4 linked regions of the Xenopus tropicalis genome follow. The protein of the gene in region 2 purifies or fractionates together with the protein of the main gene of each other region. This does not show direct contact. Links are inferred from orthologs where the notes say so. Each region holds a gene or a part of one and is shown on either strand. Other genes may lie near its edges.

Region 1 (5,233 bases), on a different chromosome or scaffold from region 2:
GATGGATGAACGACTTATTTTCCCATAGCATTTTTAAATGGCTGCTTCTGTTTAAAAAGCAGGGGGTTGACCACAATAGAAGGCCATGATACACAGTATCTGGAAGAAATAAGTCTAAAGCAACTTCTGAGTACTCTTATAAACGTTTCACCACTCAACCAAGTGGCTTCTTAATTTCAGCCGACAGGTAGGGAATTACCTGGCATTTAAACTCTTAATGGAAATACAGTCACCAACATCCATCGAACTATTCAGATGCAAAAATGTGATCCAGTCACGATAATTCTCATTGAGGCAGGTGTAAATTCTTCAATGTACTTGACTGGAATGTTCAAGTTTGCATTCTTGAGAGAAAAACCACCAATGCCATTGGTAGGCAGTCATAGGTCCCAACTGTCCCGCTTTACGCGGGACAGTCCTGGTTTTTGCCTACTGTCCCGGATACTTATCAAAATGTCCCGCGGTGCCTTTAAGAGTCCCGCTCGTCTGCAGGTCTTCTCGGCTCATTCCGTCACCGCTATCTACGGATCTTCACGGCTTCTTCCGCGCGTTTGTCTTCGGCTCTTTCCGGCTCCTTCAGGTGCTTCGCCATCTCGGTCCTTTTTGTGGTTGTCTGCAAGTCTCGCGAGATGTGAGTATGGCTGAGCAAGCCATTTCACTTAAAATTCAGAACGAACAGGATGGGTGCTAGTGCTGCTCAGGCTGTGGGTCACAAAAGTTACGCTGGTGCTGCTGTGCCTTTATCTACTACTATACAAGCTCTACTTACTGCTCCTTTTTTAAAAAAAATAAGCTTGGTGAGTCCCTGACTGTAACAAAGGTGTTTATTAATAATGAATATTAATTATTTATTAAGAATTAATAAACACTTGTTACAGTCAGGGACTCACCAAGCTTATTTTTTTTAAAAAAGGAGCAGTAAGTAGAGCTTGTACAGTAGTAGATAAAGGCACAGCAGCACCAGCGTAACTTTTGTGACCCACGACCTGAGCAGCACCAGCACCCACAACAAATAAAAAAGTGCAGGAAGAAGCTGTGAAGATCCAAAGACAGCAGTGACAGAAGGAGCCAAGGAAACCCAAAGGAAGACAAAAAGACCTGAAGACGAGCAGGACACTTAAAAGACACAGCAGGACATTTCAGTAAGTATCTGGGACAGCGGGACAATGTGCAAAAATGGGACATCTGGGGGTGTGGCCATATAGTGGGCGTGGTCAAGAAAAATTTCGCCGCGCTTAGCGCTGCAAAATATTTTGTCCCTCTTTTTCATTTTCAAATGTTGGGAGGTATGAGCAGTTTATATTAAACTCATTGCCAGGCACGTTAAGCAGTTTGGGTTATTCTTTACTGCCTTTCCTTAACTTGGCCTTCAGGTCATTAGTAAAGTATATAGTTGGTGGTGCACCAATAAGCAAAAAAAACTGTTTCCTGGACCTTTAACCTCTACCGCATTTATGCTTAGAGAGCAGAGAATGGTAACATGGAGTTACTGTAATAAGCAGTATTAGCTGAATCAGAACAAAGGCTGCCCCCTTACTAATAATGTTAACGCCAGGGTAGTAAAAATGATGCCTCGTTCCAAACATTGCCAATAGCGAGGCAAAAAGCTAAAAACAAACAAACCCGGAAGACCACTGTTTTTTTTAATATGAAATGCAACACTACACGAAGATAAGGACAACTAAAACATAAAAAAGATCATATGTAAAAAAATGATAATGTAATAGAAAACAACGCACTACAGTCTGTATTATTTTTAAAAAGGAGTACACATCTTTCCCTTTAAATGCCGCTCAGAAAAAGCCTAACTACATCTTCTGACTGTGTCTAGGCGGATGTGAATGCTAACGTTTGGTCACGTGGCACGGATATTGGCGGAAACAGAATAATCATGTGTTCTGCGGGCGGAAGTTTTGCTGTCACTGAAGCATAGCTGCTGATCCGGAGAAATACTAAGCGCAGTCATTATTTGCCTGCAAAATCAGGTCAGCGTCCCGCACACTGTTACAATTCTTTCCCTTCTGCTTGCCCTATTCTTCTGCTCTCTGATTCCCGATTATCTCCCTCGGCCGTCTCTCGGTTCAAGGGTTTTTGATCCCTGGCCTCTGCCTCCTGTTTGTCTCTATCCGCGAGTATCCTCGTATTACTAGCTCGTCGGCTTTCTACGAGGCCTTTCACTCATTTGCAGAGCTTTTTCTTGGCTGCCTGCCTCCTAGTTCTGGTTAGCGCTCTGAATCGGCTAACATCTTGCGGTAATAGAAAAACTTTAATAGATTAACTACTTTCCTAAAATGTAATTCCAGGCCCATGTTACAATGGCTGATTCTATGGTCTCTGATCTAATACCGGGGAATTTTTCTGAATTTATAGATATTTTCTTTTTTATAATTTATATTGGCATCTATTTTCCATATTTTCTGATTGTTATTATCATTGACAGGCCCCATTCAACCATGGATAACTCTGGGAAGGAGAAGGAGGCTCTGCAGCTTCTGGCTGAGGCTGACAAGAAGGTGAAGTCATCGCAGTCATTCTTTTCAGGGCTGTTTGGGTAAGTGAATTAGAAATAATTACATGGTAACAGGGCAAAATCTGTTTCTGACCAAAAGCATTGAACTGTCACTAGTGTTAGTAATATTAAGCATTTACAACGCTGTAGCTGTCACTACACAAAGCATTTTACATTTTGTTAATCTTATAACTTGAATAGTGTGTAATCTTTGTCTGTTTGTCTGCATTTAAGAGGCTCCTCTAAAATGGAAGAAGCATGCGACCTCTATGCCAGGGCTGCCAACATGTTTAAGATGGCCAAGAACTGGAGTGGTAGGTAGTATGTAATCTGTAAAATCATTTGTAACAAACTTTCCATATATCCATATATAGGTATATAGATATTTATACTCCTCGGAATAGTGCAATAAGATGCTCTTCTTCTTTTTCCCAGCTGCTGGCAATGCCTTCTGCCAGGCTGCCCAGATCCATCTTCAGGTTCAAAGCAAGCATGATGCAGCCACTAACTTTGTGGATGCTGGAAATGCATTCAAGAAATCTGACCCCCAGGGTAAGAGAGGTCCTAGTTGTCTCTTGAATGAGTCTTTTTTTTTTTCAAAGTTATCTATCAATAACTGTTTGTACCAGCACCCAGTGTTCCCCTTTGATTTGTTTTCGGTCATATGCACAAAGATAACATATTTATATCAGTTATGTGCACAGAAATGTGGGTTGTTGTAATAACTAAGTGTAAATAAGTGTTTTGCACAAAAGTGTTTTTTGTCTATTGTGGCAATACCCCCACAATGATAGCTCCAAGAAGAATAAAATGCAGAGACCCCCCTCCTCCCCCGTCTTGATGCTCCTGAATACAGTGCTCCTCACCTGTAACTGTTAATAATAGACAAAATAGACCGGTGTGATTTGCAGCATTTTTTTACTATCAAAGCAATCCTAGCACTGGTCGCCAAATGCAAACAGGCACATTTCAAGCTGATCTGATATTGTCTTGACCAGAGAATGCCATGCACAGCCAGGCACATGAATATATTCTTATATATTCATCTTGAATATGAAATGCCAGGTGATTTTAGGCCTTATTTTATTAGAGGTATTTTATTAAATGAAATAAAGGCTTTTCTGCAAGAATACATAAAGCAATGCTTAACTTTTTCAATAATAACTTTGATAAATGATCACAAGTATCTATATTGTTTTCAGAGGCAATTAACTGTCTGCTTCGAGCAATAGAGATCTACACTGACATGGTAAGGACAATTTCAAACTATCTTCCGCTTTTTTTTGGTCTTTATCACTTCTTAAGTTGACCACAAACAGAGTGACAATGCGAATATGGCTAAAAGAACGCAAGATGTTTAGTAAGATATTTGTTGACTAAGGATCAAGGTGTGTTTAAATGCAGTTTGTAGAGAATGATACATATGTGTTTGGGAAATGGGCAATAGAATTGTTATGGAAACAAGTGGGTTTTTTTTTAGTCAGAAAGTAGCAGGGAACAAAAAAAATGCTCTTCTAATGAATGTTCGGATATCGATCATACGTTTAAATGCAACGATCTAAAACTAACATTCAGACTGAAATTGTAGGATAAAGCTCTAAAAATAAATTGGAGGATGTTCTGAACATGAAATAGTAGGCAGACATCAATAATGCAAAAGTGAGGGCAGGCAGTACCCTTCTGAACAAACTCTATGCCAGGTGGCAACAGGATCTCCCCCACATTACACTTGAACTGTGGGAGGAGGTGTTGGAGTCAACCTTTGATGCTGTAATTAGGGATACACCCCACCGTTACAAATATTAAACCAGGAGCTCCCACAAGAGTGCCCCAGATGTCGTTTTTCACCATCTGACTTTATCCAGCTGTTGTGGCCTGTGTGCAGCACTTCTGGGAGGAAGTGGCAAAATATATACCCGGTAGAATGGATATCTGGTATATGCTCAGTCAGGTTCAAGAGCTGTCCCCCCTCATAGAGAAAAAAAAAATGTAAATGTCCATTTTATGTATGTATGCAAAAAAAAAAAAAAAAAAACCCACAGAAAAATTGCACAATTCTTAAAGACACCTGGTGGGCCAACTGTGGCAGCATGAGAAGCTATGGTGGAGGGAGCCATTCCCCTGTATCCCCTGCATAGGCGGTCCTCAAAGATTTGATGTTTGTTGTTGGGTTTTATGTTGAATTTTCTTGTTTATGTTTAGGTTTATTGTAAAATGAGCATCCTATTCATCTGGTTTTTTTTATGATGTTGCACCATGTACTTTTCAAATGCTTAATAAGAGCATAAAAAAACAATCAAAAAAAAAAAAAAAAAAACCTTGTGTTTTTTTTCATGTAGGGAAGATTCACCATTGCCGCCAAACATCACATTTCCATAGCAGAGATCTACGAGTCAGAGCTGGTTGACATAGAGAAGGTGAGTTATTTTCTCTCTCAGATATAATCTTTCTCTTCTTCCATTTCTTCATATGCTCTCTCTCTCTCCCTCTTTCACGACAATTATCCTTTATGGTCTCTTAAAATGCTGGTTGCACAGAGATATGGGAGGGTTCAAATAAGTGTAAAACTAAGTGAACAATGTTTGTCCATGCAGTGACCTCAATATTTGTGTGTGCGAATAAGTGCTTGGCTTACAGGGAACTTTGTCCTAGATCTTTTATTGTTCCTCTGGGTCATCAGTTTTGTCTGCCTGCTTTTAGGCTGATGCCACACAGGGCTGATTC
Region 2 (5,336 bases):
TGCCCCAAGATGCTGTGTGTTTGCTTCAGAGAGGTTACTATAGTTCATATAAATAAAGTTTCTGTATAGCCATGGAGGTAGCTATTCCAGCAAGAAAAAAGGAGAAAAGGCACAGGTTACATTGCAGATAACAGATAAGCTCTGTAGAATACAATGATGTTTTACAGTGCTTATCTATTACCGGATATGTAAACTGTACCATTTAGCCCTATTTCAGTTTAAATGGCTGCCCCCATAGCTACACAACAGCTTTGTTTATATAAACTATAGTAGAGTTTCTGAAGCAAATGCACAACAATACATTACATTTTAATTACTTTGATTTTCAGTAGTCCAATAAAAAGAAACCAAGGGATGCTCTTAAGAATATTGGCATACAGCATTGACTGCATTACATGCATCAGAATACATTTTTATGTAAAACTCCAGTCTTGATCTCAGACATGATGTTATGCTTTGTATGTGTTATGTTATCTGCCCATGTATGACCAAGCAGGCTGGACATTTATCATGTACAAAACATAAAGTACTTAGCACCTCCTTTGGGGAGAAGCGTTCTGAAGGAGGCCCACCAAATAGTACCCCAATGGGGCCAACAGCAATGCTTTCTTACTTTTTAATGCAGAAAAATCTGGGCCCCACTTGCCAAGGCAGGTAATGTAATAATTGCCCAATAAGTTGGTTTCTGTGGAGTGACCATTTATTATTAGAGCCATGGCCAGCCAGAGAGACAGACAGGTAGTTACAGCCATAGGCAACAAGACAGCCAGGTAGTTGCAACCATGGCCCGTCAGGCAGCCAGGTAGTTGCAACCATGGCCCGTCAGGCAGCCAGGTAGTTGCAACCATGGCCCGTCAGGCAGCCAGGTAGTTGCAACCACGGCCAGACAGGCATGAAGTCACAACCATGGCCAGTCAGGCAGTTAGTTACAGCCATGGCCAGTCAGGCAGTTAGTTACAGCCATGGCCAGTCACTTACAGCCAGGTAGTTACAGCCATGGCCAATCAGACAGCCAGGTAGTTACAGCCATGGCCAGTCAGTTACAGCCAGGTAGTTACAGCTATGGCCAGTCAGACAGCCAGGTAGTTACAGCCATGGCCAGTCAGACAGGCATGAAGTTACAACCATGGCCAGCAAGCCAATAGTTACAGCAATGGCCAGCAAGACATGCAGTTAGTTACAGCCATGGGAAGTCAGACAGCCAAGTAGTTACAGCCATGGTCAGACAGCCAGGTAGTTACAGCCTTGGCCAGTCAGACAGCCAAGTAGTTACAGACTTGGCGAGTCAGACAGCCAGGTAGTTACAGCCTTGGTCAGTCAGACAGCCACGTAGCTACAGCCATGGCCAGTCAGACAGCCAGGTAGCTACAGCCATGGCCAGTCAGACAGCCAGGTAGCTACAGCCATGGCCAGTCAGACAGCCAGGTAGCTACAGCCATGGCCAGTCAGACAGCCAGGTAGCTACAGCCATGGCCAGTCAGACAGCCAGGTAGTTACAGCCATGGCCAGACGGGCAGCCAGGTAGTCACAGCCATGGCCAGTCAGACAGCCAGGTAGTCACAGCCATGGCCAGTCAGACAGCCAGGTAGTCACAGCCATGGCCAGTCAGACAGCCAGGTAGTCACAGCCATGGCCAGTCAGACAGCCAGGTAGTCACAGCCATGGCCAGTCAGACAGCCAAGTAGTCACAGCCATGGCCAGTCAGACAGCCAGGTAGTCACAGCCATGGCCAGTCAGACAGCCAGGTAGTCACAGCCATGGCCAGTCAGACAGCCAGGTAGTCACAGCTATGGCCAGTCACACAGCCAGGTAGTCACAGCCAGGTAGTCACAGCTATGGCCAGTCACACAGCCAGGTAGTTACAGCCATGGCCAGTCAGACAGGCATGAAGTTACAACCATGGCCAATCAGACAGCCAGGTAGTTACAGCCATGGCCAATCAGACAGCCAGGTAGTTACAGCTATGGCCAGTCAGACAGCCAGGTAGTTACAGCCATGGCCAGTCAGACAGGCATGAAGTTACAATCATGGCCAGCAAGCCAATAGTTACAACCATGGCCAGCAAGCCAATAGTTACAACCATGGCCAGCAAGACATGCAGTTAGTTACAGCCATGGGAAGTCAGACAGCCAAGTAGTTACAACCATGGCCAGTCAGACAGACAGCCAAGTTGTTACAGCCATGGTCAGTCAGACAGCCAGGTAGCCACAGCCATGGCCAATCAGACAGCCAGGTAGTCACAGCCATGGCCAATCAGACAGCCAGGTAGTCACAGCCATGGTCAGTCAGACAGCCAGGTAGTCACAGCCATGGCCAATCAGACAGCCAGGTAGTCACAGCCATGGCCAATCAGACAGCCAGGTAGTCACAGCCATGGCCAATCAGACAGCCAGGTAGTCACAGCCATGGCCAGTCAGACAGCCAGGTAGTCACAGCCATGGCCAGACGGGCAGCTACAGCCATGGCCAGTCAGACAGCCAGGTAGTCACAGCCATGGCCAGTCAGACAGCCAGGTAGTCACAGCCATGGCCAGTCAGACAGCCAGGTAGTCACAGCCATGGCCAGTCAGACAGCCAGGTAGTCACAGCCATGGCCAGACGGGCAGCTACAGCCATGGCCAGTCAGACAGCCAGGTAGTCACAGCCATGGCCAGTCAGACAGCCAGGTAGTCACAGCCATGGCCAATCAGACAGCCAGGTAGTCACAGCCATGGCCAGTCAGACAGCCAGGTAGTCACAGCCATGGCCAGTCAGACAGCCAGGTAGTCACAGCCATGGCCAGACGGGCAGCTACAGCCATGGCCAGGCAGACAGCCAGGTAGTCACAGCCATGGCCAGTCAGACAGCCAGGTAGTCACAGCCATGGCCAGTCAGACAGCCAGGTAGTCACAGCCATGGCCAGACGGGCAGCCAGGTAGTCACAGCCATGGCCAGTCAGACAGCCAGCTAGTCACAGCCATGGCCAGTCAGACAGCCAGCTAGTCACAGCCATGGCCAGTCAGACAGCCAGGTAGTCACAGCCATGGCCAGTCAGACAGCCAGCTAGTCACAGCCATGGCCAGTCAGACAGCCAGCTAGTCACAGCCATGGCCAGTCAGACAGCCAGGTAGTCACAGCCATGGCCAGTCAGACAGCCAGGTTAGTAGGTATGCGGCGTACTCAAGATTATCTTAACATCAATTCTCACCCAGTGTAGTGATTATCACCTTTAGTGTCATTAGACCCCCCCACAGGCATGACGTCACGGAAGGCAAGCCCCCAAAATCAAACCCTCCCACAGAATGTGGGCAACAAACTATGAGCCCAAGGAGCCCCTTACTGGACCCCGCGCCCTCACATTATAGGAACAGAAACAAACACACCTCCCCCTTACAGTAAATCTCACCGGTCACCGCTTCTCTCTTACTCCCTCTCTCTTTCTGTTTCTGCCGGGGAAAATGCTGACGTCAGCGCCACGTACACACACGTCACCGGCTCCTGTACTTCGCGAGTCGCACTCTGAGTGCGTCAGTCCGGAGGTGTGTTTCTAACCCGGAAGTGTGCGTATTAGTAGTGGAAAGGTTGCCTATAGTAATACGTAGGCGTTATTGTGGAATGGCGTTTCTTTTTAGCTAACTCTAAGTGGCCTTACAACCATGTAATTAATGTCATGACCTTGTTAATCTATCCTAGCATTCTAAAGTGGATATTAATGGGCAAATAAATTCTACTTTCAGCAGAGTACCATATGGCTTTAGGTTATTCAATTGACTTGGTAAATCTGTGCTACCTCAGATGGAAGAACATACCTAGTTTTCTTGCCACCAGCAGTAATGTGAATTGCTAGTGAGAAAACATGCATTGTGAAGTAACCTGGAGCTGCTTTGTAAAGGGGCTGTGCAGATTTACGGTGGACAACAAATGTCCCATGTGCCTTTGCCCTGAGACAACTTTGGAAGCAGAAGTGATGCATATGTGTTCCCAGTACTTCCAACAAGAAGGAAGCTAGGGACGTTTTGTCGCCCATTGTAGCGCAGATTTACCATTGGTGACAAAGTGCCCTGTGTGACTTTGCCATTAATGCTATTACTTGTAATACACCAGCTGGGAAGGACCTGAACCAGTTACAAGGGTAAGATAACACCAGTATCATATTTGCAAGGTTGCATTGACCTAAGGGTGGGGCCTTGAAAAAAACATAAAACTGGACTGGAGTACTGGAGCCTATAAAACATAAAGACTCAAAGTCCTGCTTGATTGTATAAGTGATGCATGATTGTGACGTTAAAGGAGACATATCCTATAAAAATTAAGAATGTACCAGTGAATTATACTCCTCTAGATATAGAAGGATTGTGCTTAAAAAAAGTAGTGTTTCTGACTGAGATTTATTGAGAAATTCCACCAAAACCCCACTAGTCCTGCCCATCTGTTCCACTTCCTGCTGGCTACTTTCACCATTCCCCAATATTTCAACTGCCAATCCAAAGGGGTCATTTACCTAGCCACATGTGAGTGTGGTGCTCAGTATGTGGGGAAAACCATTCGTAAGGTTGGAACTAGGATTCTGGAACACTTATCAGCCGTAGAGAGAAAGGACACGAGATCAGCGATAGCAAAACATATAATAGAGAGACATGAAAGTAGTAATCATGTGACCTTTCAGATTATTGATAGACCTAGTATAAGTGTTAGGGGAGGTGATATAGATAAGAAACTTTCAGAGAGAGAGGTCTTTTGGATATATCGGTTGAAAACAACAGAGCAATATGGGGGCCTCAATAGATGATGGGAATTATCCTGTTTCTACTGATAATCATGTGACCACACCGCTATATAATTGATTAATATTTTTGGAAGCAGTATGTTTATATGTATACTTTTAGTTTAGTATTGTGGTCTGACAATTGGACATATAATCATATATATACAACTTAGAAACAACTTGTAACAATATTTAATACATGTGACTTTTTTGATCTATTGTTACTATTATTATTACTACTATCATCATTATTGTTACTAATACAACACCTAAGCTTACCTAAATGATGTGTGGTTTGGAGGGTACAGTTTTTTATAATTGATAAGCACCCGGGTGGGTGCTCTTTATATGTTTTTATATATACAAGGTTTTCATCACGTCTATGGACATATATGTGCTTGTTTTTCACACTTCAGGGTTAACAGTGAGTTGCCAATTAAGAATGGGTGTGTGTCCTATCTATTTAAATTCAAATGGAGGGTGTCACAATTTGGGCTTCTGAGGAAGTGGTGTTACCACGAAACGCGTTAAGCTAAAGAGGTGAATATGCTCTGACCTGTTTTTAAATGATGAAATAAATTTATGTTTTTATT
Region 3 (5,404 bases), on a different chromosome or scaffold from region 2:
AACTCCTGGATGCTGTGGAAAGAAAATGGCAGATACATTAGATAGCTTCAAGAAAGTTTGTGGAATTCATTACAAGTTAAGTATATATTGGTACAAAACAGAACCGGGGAATAGCACGGCTAGAGGCAGAAAGGAATGCTCTCTCTTTATTTGCAGTCAGTTGGAATCAGCTCTGGAAGGTTTCATTCTCCATCCTCTGAATCAATAAGAGATCTATTTGCTCGACCATGGCTACCATATGAAAGGCAGTCTAATAAAGAGATAGACACCTTGTGACATTATAAGTTCTGACTCTCTATAAGTGAATTACATATTGCATTAGCTCTGGTTACTAAGCCCAGCCAACCATATTTTCATCCCTGAATGTTTTTATATGAATTGGAGCCCCCTATTGGTTGCTCAGCTGAGTACATATTTAAGCTCATCTATTGACTTTAATTTATAGGAACAGTAACACCAAAAATTAAAGTGTTTTAAGTTAATTAAAATATCATTTAGCATTGCCCTGCACTGGAAAACATTTTGTGTTTGCCTCATTACTTTAGGTTAAATAAATAAGCTGCTGTGTAGCCACGGGTAGATATTTAAGCTGGAAAAAAAAGGCACAGGTTACACAGAAGATGGCAGACAAGCTCTGTAGAATACAGTGGTGTTTTACAGAGCTTATCCGTTATCTGCTAAGTAACCTATGCCACTTAGCCCTATTATAATTGGAATGGCAGCCTCCATGACTACACAGCAGCTTTGTTTATACAAACTGTAGTAGTGTTTCTGAAACAAACACACAACTTTTACCACTGCAGGGCAACAGTACATTATAATAACTTTGACGCATTTGTTGGAATAGATGTATGAATAGATGCATGGCTTAATGAGGCAATATGTACTGTGGAGCAAGAAACACACAGGTATGTCTTACTAGCAGGCCCCCTTTTTTCAGAAGTGCTGCCCCCACATTGCGCTCCCAGCTCTGCCCAATGCTGCTTGTATCTAAGGTAATTTCAGGTGGGTTTTATATATTTTCCATTTCAGGGGGTAAACATTAACTTGGATGCATACTTTGGGGAGTGCGAGATTGTGGTTGACTAGGTGATGAGGACCAAAGTAGGGTGGCATACGAGCTGACATATATGAACCCATAGCAACTAGCCAAGATCCAGCTGCAACAAGACTGAAAAAAGAAACATTCTGGCTAGTTGCTATAGGTTACTACCACATTTTATACAACTTTGTGAATAGCCTGCCCTCTCAAATAAAGAGTCTCTAAGACTGTAAGCAAACATTCTTGGTATAATCAGTATACCCTCTAATTTCTTGCAGGCAGTGTGGGCCAAGAAAGTCCAACATGCACCTAAAAAACAAAGGAACTCATGTATAAACACTGGGCAAATGTTACAGCTAGCTGAAGGTAGAACAATAAAAAGCAAACTTTTGATTGGTTCCCATGGGCTAATGCCCAGGTGCAAACCTGCCAAGTGTTCATAAATGACCCCCAGAGTTCACAGTCCAGGCAAGGGCTGAATTATATGTATGCATGCTCCCCATCTGATGTAGGAATGTCAAGGCACCTGAATAGGAACCACTACATATATATGATGTTGTGAGCGTAGGGTGGGTACCCAGCTTGGTAACCACTGCATATATATTATACTGTGAGCATAGGGGGCACCCAGCTTGGTAACCACTGCATATATATTATACTGTGAGCATAGGGTGGGCACCCAGCTTGGTAACCACTGCATATATATTATACTGTAAGCATAGGGTGGGCACCCAGCTTGGTAACCACTGCATATATATTATACTGTGAGCATAGGGGGCACCCAGCTTGGTAACCACTGCATATATATTATACTGTGAGCATAGGGGGCACCCAGCATGGTAACCACTGCATATATATTATACTGTGAGCATAGGGTGGCACCCAGCTTGGTAACCATTGCATATATATTATACTGTGAGCATAGGGTGGGCACCCAGCTTGGTAACCACTGCATATATATTATACTGTGAGCATAGGGTGGCACCCAGCTTGGTAACCACTGCATACATATTATACTGTGAGCATAGGGGGCACCCAGCTTGGTAACCACTGCATATATATTATACTGTGAGCATAGGGTGGCACCCAGCTTGGTAACCACTGCATATATATTATACTGTGAGCATAGGGGGCACCCAGCTTGGTAACCATTGCATATATATTATACTGTGAGCATAGGGGGGCACCCAGCTTGGTAACCATTGCATATATATTATACTGTGAGCATAGGGTGGGCACCCAGCTTGGTAACCACTGCATATATATTATACTGTGAGCATAGGGTGGCACCCAGCTTGGTAACCACTGCATATATATTATACTGTGAGCATAGGGGGCACCCAGCTTGGTAACCACTGCATATATATTATACTGTGAGCATAGGGGGCACCCAGCATGGTAACCACTGCATATATATTATACTGTGAGCATAGGGTGGGCACTCAGCTTGGTAACCACTGCATATATATTATACTGTGAGCATAGGGTGGCACCCAGCTTGGTAACCACTGCATATATATTATACTGTGAGCATAGGGTGGGCACCCAGCTTGGTAACCACTGCATATATATTATACTGTGAGCATAGGGTGGGCACCCAGCTTGGTAACCACTGCATATATATTATACTGTGAGCATAGGGTGGGCACCCAGCTTGGTAACCACTGCATATATTATACTGTGAGCATAGGGGGCACCCAGCATGGTAACCACTGCATATATATTATACTGTGAGCATAGGGGGCACCCAGCTTGGTAACCACTGCATATATATTATACTGTGAGCATAGGGTGGGCACCCATCATACCTGGATCTCTGGAAGAAGCTGAAGGAGGAGACATCATAGGCACTTTTCAGAAGACTGACCTTGTTATCTCCCTTATATAGAACACTGAGACTGTAAAGCTTCATGGTGGCTGCAAGAGAGAGAGGGGAGGATTGGGGTAAATGGTTCCATATAACAAGGACAGATGAGCACACACATCAGTGCTAGGCAGGGCAGCCATGAGCGGGGGACAGCAGTCCTGGGCCCGATGGGTTGTGGGTCTCTAGGTGGGCCGGCTGTGCTGCACTTACTTGGCTCACAGGGCCCCCCTGCTGTCAGTGAGATGTAGACTTCGGGAGGGGTGTTGGATGCTGAAGTGCCTGCGTGTCGTCTCCCCTACACAGCCTTAATAATAGCACCAAGTCCCGCTTTTCCCAACAGCCCAACAGTCCCGGGTCGCTACTTACAGGTCCCGCAAAACTGTTAACTGCAGCCTCCAACCCTCCTCCAGTCTTACAGGAAATCCCAACGCCACAAGTCTCATCACCACTACACGTAAGCGCAGTGACGCAACACGTTGCCGCCCGATGGGCGTGGCGAGCCGGCGTAACTCAGTGTTACATAGTCGGAAGCTGCTGGTTAATCGTGGCGGCTTCTCTCAAAATCGCATGTTGTTGTGCTTGCGCTTTCTGTTTCTCTGAGTGAACACTTATCTTTGTTGTTGGTTTCTCGTTATGCCATTCGCCATTTCAGTCCCAATAAAAGTCATTTATGTTTTATGCTAAAGGTTCGCAAGAAAAAAGGCTTCCATGGTTACCAACTGCCCCTGCAGCCATTGGAGTTTATTTTCCCAATTTCAGCCTGCGTCTGGATCTCCTCCATATTTATAACTTTGGAAAATGCACAGAACTTTTGGCATGTCTGAAGTTGATTGGTAATTTTACTGGCATGTCTGGGGTTAATATGCCCTTTATCAATTTAATGTAGTCATACTGGCATGTTTGAAGTTAATATGTCCTTTATTCTTTTTATTTAGTGATTATACTGGCACATCTGGGCCATGTAAAGTGGGTGTGGCACGTGGGGCGTGGTCACAAAGCAGGCGTGGCCAAATTTTTTTTTTGCCACACTACCTGAGTCACATATTTTTGTCCCTCTTTCTCTTAATAAAATGTTGGGAGGTATGTTGTTATATACCCTGTAAGATAAGAAAGAAACTGTTACTGTATATACAGTGCCCCCCCCCACACTTTAAATGTAAAATCAATAAAGAAAGATCATTTAAAAAGATCTATAATAAGTATATATTTGTAGCAGAGGGTATTGTACCATAGGAAGGACAAATATGGAGGTTTCCTACAAAGTGGTACAGCTGCTCTATACCCTGTGGGAACCATTTGGGAGACATTATCAGTGGTTTTCTTTTCCCTTTCATGGTCATGGGACTTTTTCTGCCGTTTGGCTTTGATTAATGAGCCTTCCTGTAGCGGAGAGGTCCCAGTACCAAAGCCACAGAATAGAAACTTCTTACAAAAAAGTACTTTGTTACCCACATGCATAGCGAATACATACTGCATGGCTGCATGGAAACCAGTGTGGGCTGCACTCGGATATAGGAGGCCTCATTTATCAAGCCAAATATCCCATGGCCAAGATATGAGCAGATGTACTAAATAGGTATCCTGTATTTAAAGGGAAAAACTTGCTGGGCTGGGCCCAGCAGGGACAGAGCATGTTCTCCTTGTATCCCTTTTAAAGGGGCTGTTCACTGAGTTAACATTTAGTATGATGTAGAGAGTAATATTCAGAGACAATTTCCAATTGGTCTTCATTTTTTCATTATTTGTAGTTTTAAATAACTTCAATAATTGTTCAGCAGCTCTCCAGTTTGGTGTTAGAACAGCTATTGGGTTACTAAGGTCCAAATTACCTTAGCAACCAGGGAGGGGCTTGAATGAGAGACTGATATATGACTAGGAGAGGGACTGAATAGAAATAAAAAGTTATCAAAAGTAACAATAACACTGTAGCTTCACAGAGGAAAGCTTTTGGCTGCCGCGGTCACCGACCCCCATTTGAAAGCTGCAAGAAGTAATTCAAATTGAAAATAATTCAAAATTTATATGAAGTCCAAATGAAAAGTTGCTTAGAACTGGTCAATCTATAAAACATACTAAAAGCTAAATTGAGCCACCCCTTTAAAGGGCAATGCATCCCAAAGCAGAAATGAACATATTACTATAAGTGATAAAATCCCTAATCTGGTGCCATACAGCATAATGTTCATTCCGGGGGCTGCGTCTCCTAGTGTCTCCTTAATCTTAGTGGGTTGTATGCCATGTACAAAATGGCCTCTCAGTCTCTGTCGTTGGTCACTTTATATTGAACAAGGGGCAATGAAAAGTACTGTCTATGGCAGGGAATTTTCTGGCCTTTAGTAGCTGCTACTAAGTAGCTCCGTGTGTCTTGGCCCTAAAGGGAACTGCTGTTATGTATTGTTTTTGTTCAAGTACATATATATTCTAAATATACTGTGTGAGTGTGTATATAATGTATAGAGAGAATGTTTGAATAATGACAGTTAAATAAACATTTG
Region 4 (5,260 bases), about 82 Mb from region 2:
CTGTAAATCTGGTTACACTGGCTCCTTAATAGTTTATAGAGAAGAGGGGAGGAAATCATTAAGTATATTTGCTTTTTTTCACAGTACCCTGTAACAAAAATATTGATATTTTTTAATAATTATTAAGGTATCACCCCAATCTATAAAATGAAGCAATGATCTTTAAGTACTAAACTTGGATGTAACAGTCCTGCAATTTACTTGCCTGTTGCCTTATAATCGGCACAAGGTTCTACCTCAGGCTTTAGCCTTATTATTAATTCCTTCACCTTTACGATAACTTTTAGTATGTTATTGAATGCCCTAATCCTTACAACTGGTTTTCACTATTCATTTTTTTAAGTTTTTAATTATTTGCTTTTCTCTGCTGCCACTTTCCAACTTTCAAATGGGGGTCACTAACGCCGGCAGCCAAAAACTATTGCCCAGTGAGGGTACATTTTTATTACTCATCTTTCTGTGCAGGCCCTCTACCACTGCCAAGTTACTAGGGTAAAAAATACCCTAGCAACCAGGTAGCCGCTATAAAATGGAGAGCTGCTGAACACAAAAATAAATAACTGAAAAACCATAAAAAATGAAGACCATTTGCTAATTGCCCTTTAAAGCCCTTCTCCTTGTGTACTTAACCCATATCTTCAAATTATGATATGACCAGTAATTAATATTTACTGACCAGTCATATGACTATGTATATGACTATTTAGGTGCACATCATTATTTTAGTCAATGTTTTGAATGATGGTTGCACTAATGAATGGGGTTTTACTCTGGCCACATTTCTTTCACTGTTATAATTTAACCCCCATGCTCAACAGCCTCTGTTCCTCTGAGATATATAATTAGGTGTGGGAGGTGCATATGAACAATTTTTAGTGTTAACCGCCATTTCACTAACTGGTCCCTGATGCCCATTGTGGCAAAAACCACTGACATTAAATCATTCAGCAAATAATAATCTGCCAACCAACATGTTTACTGAGAAAGGGTAAAGTGTGATGTCAACGGCACTGCAAAGTTCTGGACTGGTTCCATGCAGGATGTCCTGGGGTAAGTGCCTAAATAAGCAACGGTATATTCTATGCAGATTACACATGGGTAAATATATTTATTTTGCCTGCTCCTATATTTGCATGATTATTCTGTATCTATGCTCCTCGTATAGTTCTTATTACGTGGCTATCCTTGTGGGTTTCCACTTTACCTTAGCCTGATACACAAAGAGCTTTATATGAAAATTAGACCAATGAGGGAAGGTTTCATTATAACTCGAGGGAGAGCAGTAATTACAGCTCACTTGCTAACCTGCAGACAGCAATACAATCCTCAATCTTCATGTAAACACATTTTATGTATAGCTCCTGCATTGCCATAGGAGCTAATTACAGCACTACATATCCTCCTCTCATACAGTAACCCTTAGGCACTGAAATAATGGCAAACAGTCCTTTGCATACAAGGGAACAGTAGCAGCTTTTCCAGTTACACACCATGTACATTACTGTAGCACATTGATAAAGGAAGAACAGAAACAAGTTGCTATAAAAGTGCAACAAATCAATAAGTAGCTCTGGAATATCTGTGTTTTGTTGGGTAATTAGAGCTGCACTGTATTCAATAATGCTCCCAATCTGAACCCATGCGCTTCTACCCTATGACCTTTCTACTCCGTAACTTTACGCACACTTTTTTAAGAAACTCTTGCACAAGCCTTGCAACATAGAAGAGGTGGTCATACCTCCTGAACAGAAGGATAAAGGTCTAGAGGCTATTTTTACTAATAGTGCAACAGTGCCTTTTCACTTGGACACAATCAGGCAGCTTCTGCTCAGATTGCCAACACAACCTGTGACCTTATACATCCCTTAGAGGGCCACATACGGTCTATGGCTGGTCAGTCCTGTGATATAATCTTTAATAAGGCATCTTATCTACATGCACAGGGTACTATTTAAGTACTTACCGTCACAGTTATGCACACCCTCCCACCACTCTATAGAAGCACCGATAAATCATAAGCATAGACCTAGGCATGTCCCACATGTACACCTTTTTGGACAAAACCAAAGCTACCTATAACCCTCACCTGTACAGGCTAAATACATGGAACACTACATATAATGTTCATTAATAGTGGCACAACTAATATACAACACTACGCACAGCCTTCACCTTTCTGGCTAATCAGTATAAACACACAATAGAATAGCTAATTCACACCTGCATGGACACAGGTATGGTCACTATACATAACCACAAACAGCTCTACATTCCGCACACAGTTAAAGTCATACATATCTAACATCTGTATGGTCTAAATGTATCCGCACTGCTTTCTTTATAAATATAGATTGTAAGCTCTACGGGGCAGGGACCTCCTTCCTCTTGTGTCCTCGACTCTTAACTTATTGCAGCTGTATTTATTTATTGTTATACTTTGTATTTATCTATTATTATCTTATTAACACCCTGTTTGTATTAATGTATTCTACTGTACAGCGCTGCGTACATAAGTAGCGCTTTATAAATAAAGATATACATACATACATACAAATATCCCTCACCTATATGGCACAATAAATATGCCCACAACAGCTTACATAGGCCGTGCCTGTAGCGGAGCTGTGCATAATAGCCAGGTACATACTTGCTGGCCAGACCTGCCCAATCAACGGAACAGAGACAATGCAGCCAGTTATGATAGAAATGTATGTCTAACAATGTATTTTATAGGTGTCCCAAAATGAAGTTGACAGGCTACCTGTGTGTGCATATACAGTAGTCAACCCTACACATACACTACACTTCTTTATATATACAATGTACGCTCACACATATACACAAACACATTATTCATATCTCATCACAGTGTAAACAAACAGCTAGCACTCAGATACACAGCTTACCTGTATTCCCATAGCGCATAAACACACACAAGCAGGGCACTGCTTATAATAACGCACCCAGCACAATAACACCCTCGCTTGAATGGATACAGTGAATATACACCCCAGTACAACTGCCCCTGAGCTATGTAGCCCAAGGTTTTGCTTCTAAACATCACTCCAACATGCCCTCAGCTACATCTGGTTCCCTATAGCTATTACTATGCACTCCCCAACAGGTGGGCTCTCTCGAGTTGAAGACATGTTTGACCTGTATATGAACATTTCACCTGTTCGTCCTCCTGCATGGAGGCAGCCAGCGGGAGTCCGTCAGCCACTCGGGCGATCATCGTTAGCAGGACCATGTTGACCGGGGGAGACAGACGCACACACACACAACAGGGCTAGAGATCAGGATGAGCTGGCCGGAAACGTTGCTCTCCACCCCCCTGCTCCGCTGGCAGTGACAGGGTTCACACTGTAGTACCGCCCCCCTGTCTGTCTCAACAAAGGTTCCGGGGTACGAAAGTTCCTAGGGAAGGAAAATGAAAGTTACGGCGCCTAGGCATTTGTGCTGTGGATTCGCCATCTTTTATTTGGAATCTGCCAGTATTGTCTTTTATAAATCGATGCTAGGCAAAATAATGAGTAAGAAAAGAAGGGAAATCTTTTTCTAGAGACGTGATATCTTGGCATCTTAATACTTTAAGGTTTCCCCTAATTTCTGAGCTGCTGCTGGAACAATTAATGGTTTTGCATGGGCCAGGTCATAAATGGCAACTGAAGCCCTGCTTCACCCCAATTGCATATGAGGCATCTTACCCCTTTTTGCCTTAATCCATTAAAACTCAGTTCATGTTCTGGCCCACCTACCTTCAGCACATACAGTTGCCGCCTGCCCAGGGTTTTACTGGCCTGGCTGGTAAAAATGATGCTTGATGTTGTGCAAAGACAGGGTTCACTTTTACTTCTTGGCCATATTTGCCAATGACATAAGGGGTTGAGTAGGTACCAGGAGGGTGAAGTTGTGATGTGTGGGGCCTTAAATGGATGAAGTGGGTCAGATTTGGTAAGTAGGCAGGGCTTAGGTGCATAGAAGGGGTGCAAAGAGAGGGACCCCTGACTGCAGAACCATTGTAACCCCCTGTAGTACATTATTGAGTTACTTGATTTATAATATATATTTCTGCTTTGATATATCATTTAGGTTTAGTCAATAAATAATTCAGCACATTTTAGGGAACTATTGTGAAGATAAGGGGAGTCCAGTGTACTTGTTGCTGGGTAAACATATATAGTAAAAATAGACATTTTTTATTGTTACATAAGAAACATGGGTATTGTTAGCCAGCAAATAAACAAGCATACAGCAGGCAGACAATAGCCGCTTATACACAACTTATTTAAATTAGACATGACTGAAGAGGTATAAAGCTCTTTATGGAGAATTAAACTCAAAAAATCAATATGGCTAGAAATGCCAAATTTTACATACTAAACTTGATGCAGCAGCCTAAAGTTTCAGCATCTCTATAGTAATAATTATCCAGGTCCTTACAGTTATCACAGAAGCTTCCCATCTTGGATGTTGCTAGGAGTGTTAGTGACACTGCATATGCTCAGTGTGCCCTGGGCAACTGTTGGGAAGCAAAGCTTAGGGGTTGTTGAAAATTATCAAGCCAAAAATTAGGTTTAATTGTCATATACGCTGATGCCACATGGCTGATTAATAAATTCTGATGCTAATTGCACTGGTTTCAAAGCTGCCATGTAATGTGAATCTGAATAAATTACTAATCGTCCCTAAGCTCAATAACTGACAGCAGCAGCAGAATATGGGCAGTGAATCAGCAGAGAAGAAGATGGGGACCAACTGGGGTATTTTTGGAGGCACATATCTTCCCTGCCAAAAGACTGTGGTTGTCTCAGGCTAGTAGAGAAGCCCAAATCTCTGCTATTGCGGGGACTAACTGCTCCGAAATGCCTTTTCACTGGCAACTAACTCGCTCCATGGGTCCTTAGCCTAAAGGTTCATACCTTTATTACTCCCCCTGATGGTAGCCCTGACATTTCCACTTCTTCATTTACTGATGCACCATACACCATGGTGCATCAGCTGCTTTGTTTTTTAAACCTACCCATCCATAACTGGGCCACCATCTGCGCACACTGAAAATCATTTCATATATGGTTTTATCAGTATGTATATGGTCAGCTTTGCTGGTGTCAGTTACAGTACTTTATGTGGAGGCTTGCCATATTAAGTGGCATTGCTAGTTTTATGGTAGCGTAGATGTTTCGCTTTAACCTACCTCCCCAGCTTTCCAGGGGCAAAAGATAGATACAATCACACAGGACATATTACAGCAGTTGTT

The links. Proteins that work in one complex are often made in the same cells at the same time.
Region 1: the proteins of stx5 (region 2) and napa purify together in Homo sapiens (affinity purification with mass spectrometry; 3 studies listed by BioGRID and IntAct, with this or other methods). This does not show direct contact. The link is inferred for Xenopus tropicalis from reciprocal best matches to the Homo sapiens genes STX5 and NAPA.
Region 3: the proteins of stx5 (region 2) and ykt6 purify together in Homo sapiens (affinity purification with mass spectrometry; 3 studies listed by BioGRID and IntAct, with this or other methods). This does not show direct contact. The link is inferred for Xenopus tropicalis from reciprocal best matches to the Homo sapiens genes STX5 and YKT6.
Region 4: the proteins of stx5 (region 2) and sec22b purify together in Homo sapiens (co-immunoprecipitation; 4 studies listed by BioGRID and IntAct, counting the BioPlex papers as one, with this or other methods). This does not show direct contact. The link is inferred for Xenopus tropicalis from reciprocal best matches to the Homo sapiens genes STX5 and SEC22B.

The regions. Positions count from the first base shown.
Region 1 is NC_030684.2:79,896,576-79,901,808, forward strand, and holds the start of napa (alpha-soluble NSF attachment protein), read left to right. Parts: upstream 1-1,962; 5' UTR 1,963-1,985; intron 1,986-1,995; exon of another isoform or gene 1,996-2,252; intron 2,253-2,440; 5' UTR 2,441-2,453; coding exon 2,454-2,551; intron 2,552-2,743; coding exon 2,744-2,823; intron 2,824-2,944; coding exon 2,945-3,061; intron 3,062-3,711; coding exon 3,712-3,758; intron 3,759-4,848; coding exon 4,849-4,926; intron 4,927-5,233. UniProt on the Homo sapiens protein: Required for vesicular transport between the endoplasmic reticulum and the Golgi apparatus. Together with GNA12 promotes CDH5 localization to plasma membrane.
Region 2 is NC_030680.2:36,552,649-36,557,984, forward strand, and holds the start of stx5 (syntaxin-5), read right to left. Parts: upstream 3,454-5,336; 5' UTR 3,385-3,453; exon of another isoform or gene 3,362-3,384; intron 1-3,361. UniProt on the Homo sapiens protein: Mediates endoplasmic reticulum to Golgi transport.
Region 3 is NC_030679.2:126,517,641-126,523,044, forward strand, and holds the start of ykt6 (synaptobrevin homolog YKT6), read right to left. Parts: upstream 3,272-5,404; 5' UTR 3,120-3,271; intron 2,960-3,119; 5' UTR 2,955-2,959; coding exon 2,851-2,954; intron 13-2,850; coding exon 1-12. UniProt on the Homo sapiens protein: Vesicular soluble NSF attachment protein receptor (v-SNARE) mediating vesicle docking and fusion to a specific acceptor cellular compartment. Functions in endoplasmic reticulum to Golgi transport; as part of a SNARE complex composed of GOSR1, GOSR2 and STX5.
Region 4 is NC_030680.2:118,087,931-118,093,190, forward strand, and holds the start of sec22b (vesicle-trafficking protein SEC22b precursor), read right to left. Parts: upstream 3,272-5,260; 5' UTR 3,251-3,271; coding exon 3,176-3,250; intron 1-3,175. UniProt on the Homo sapiens protein: SNARE involved in targeting and fusion of ER-derived transport vesicles with the Golgi complex as well as Golgi-derived retrograde transport vesicles with the ER.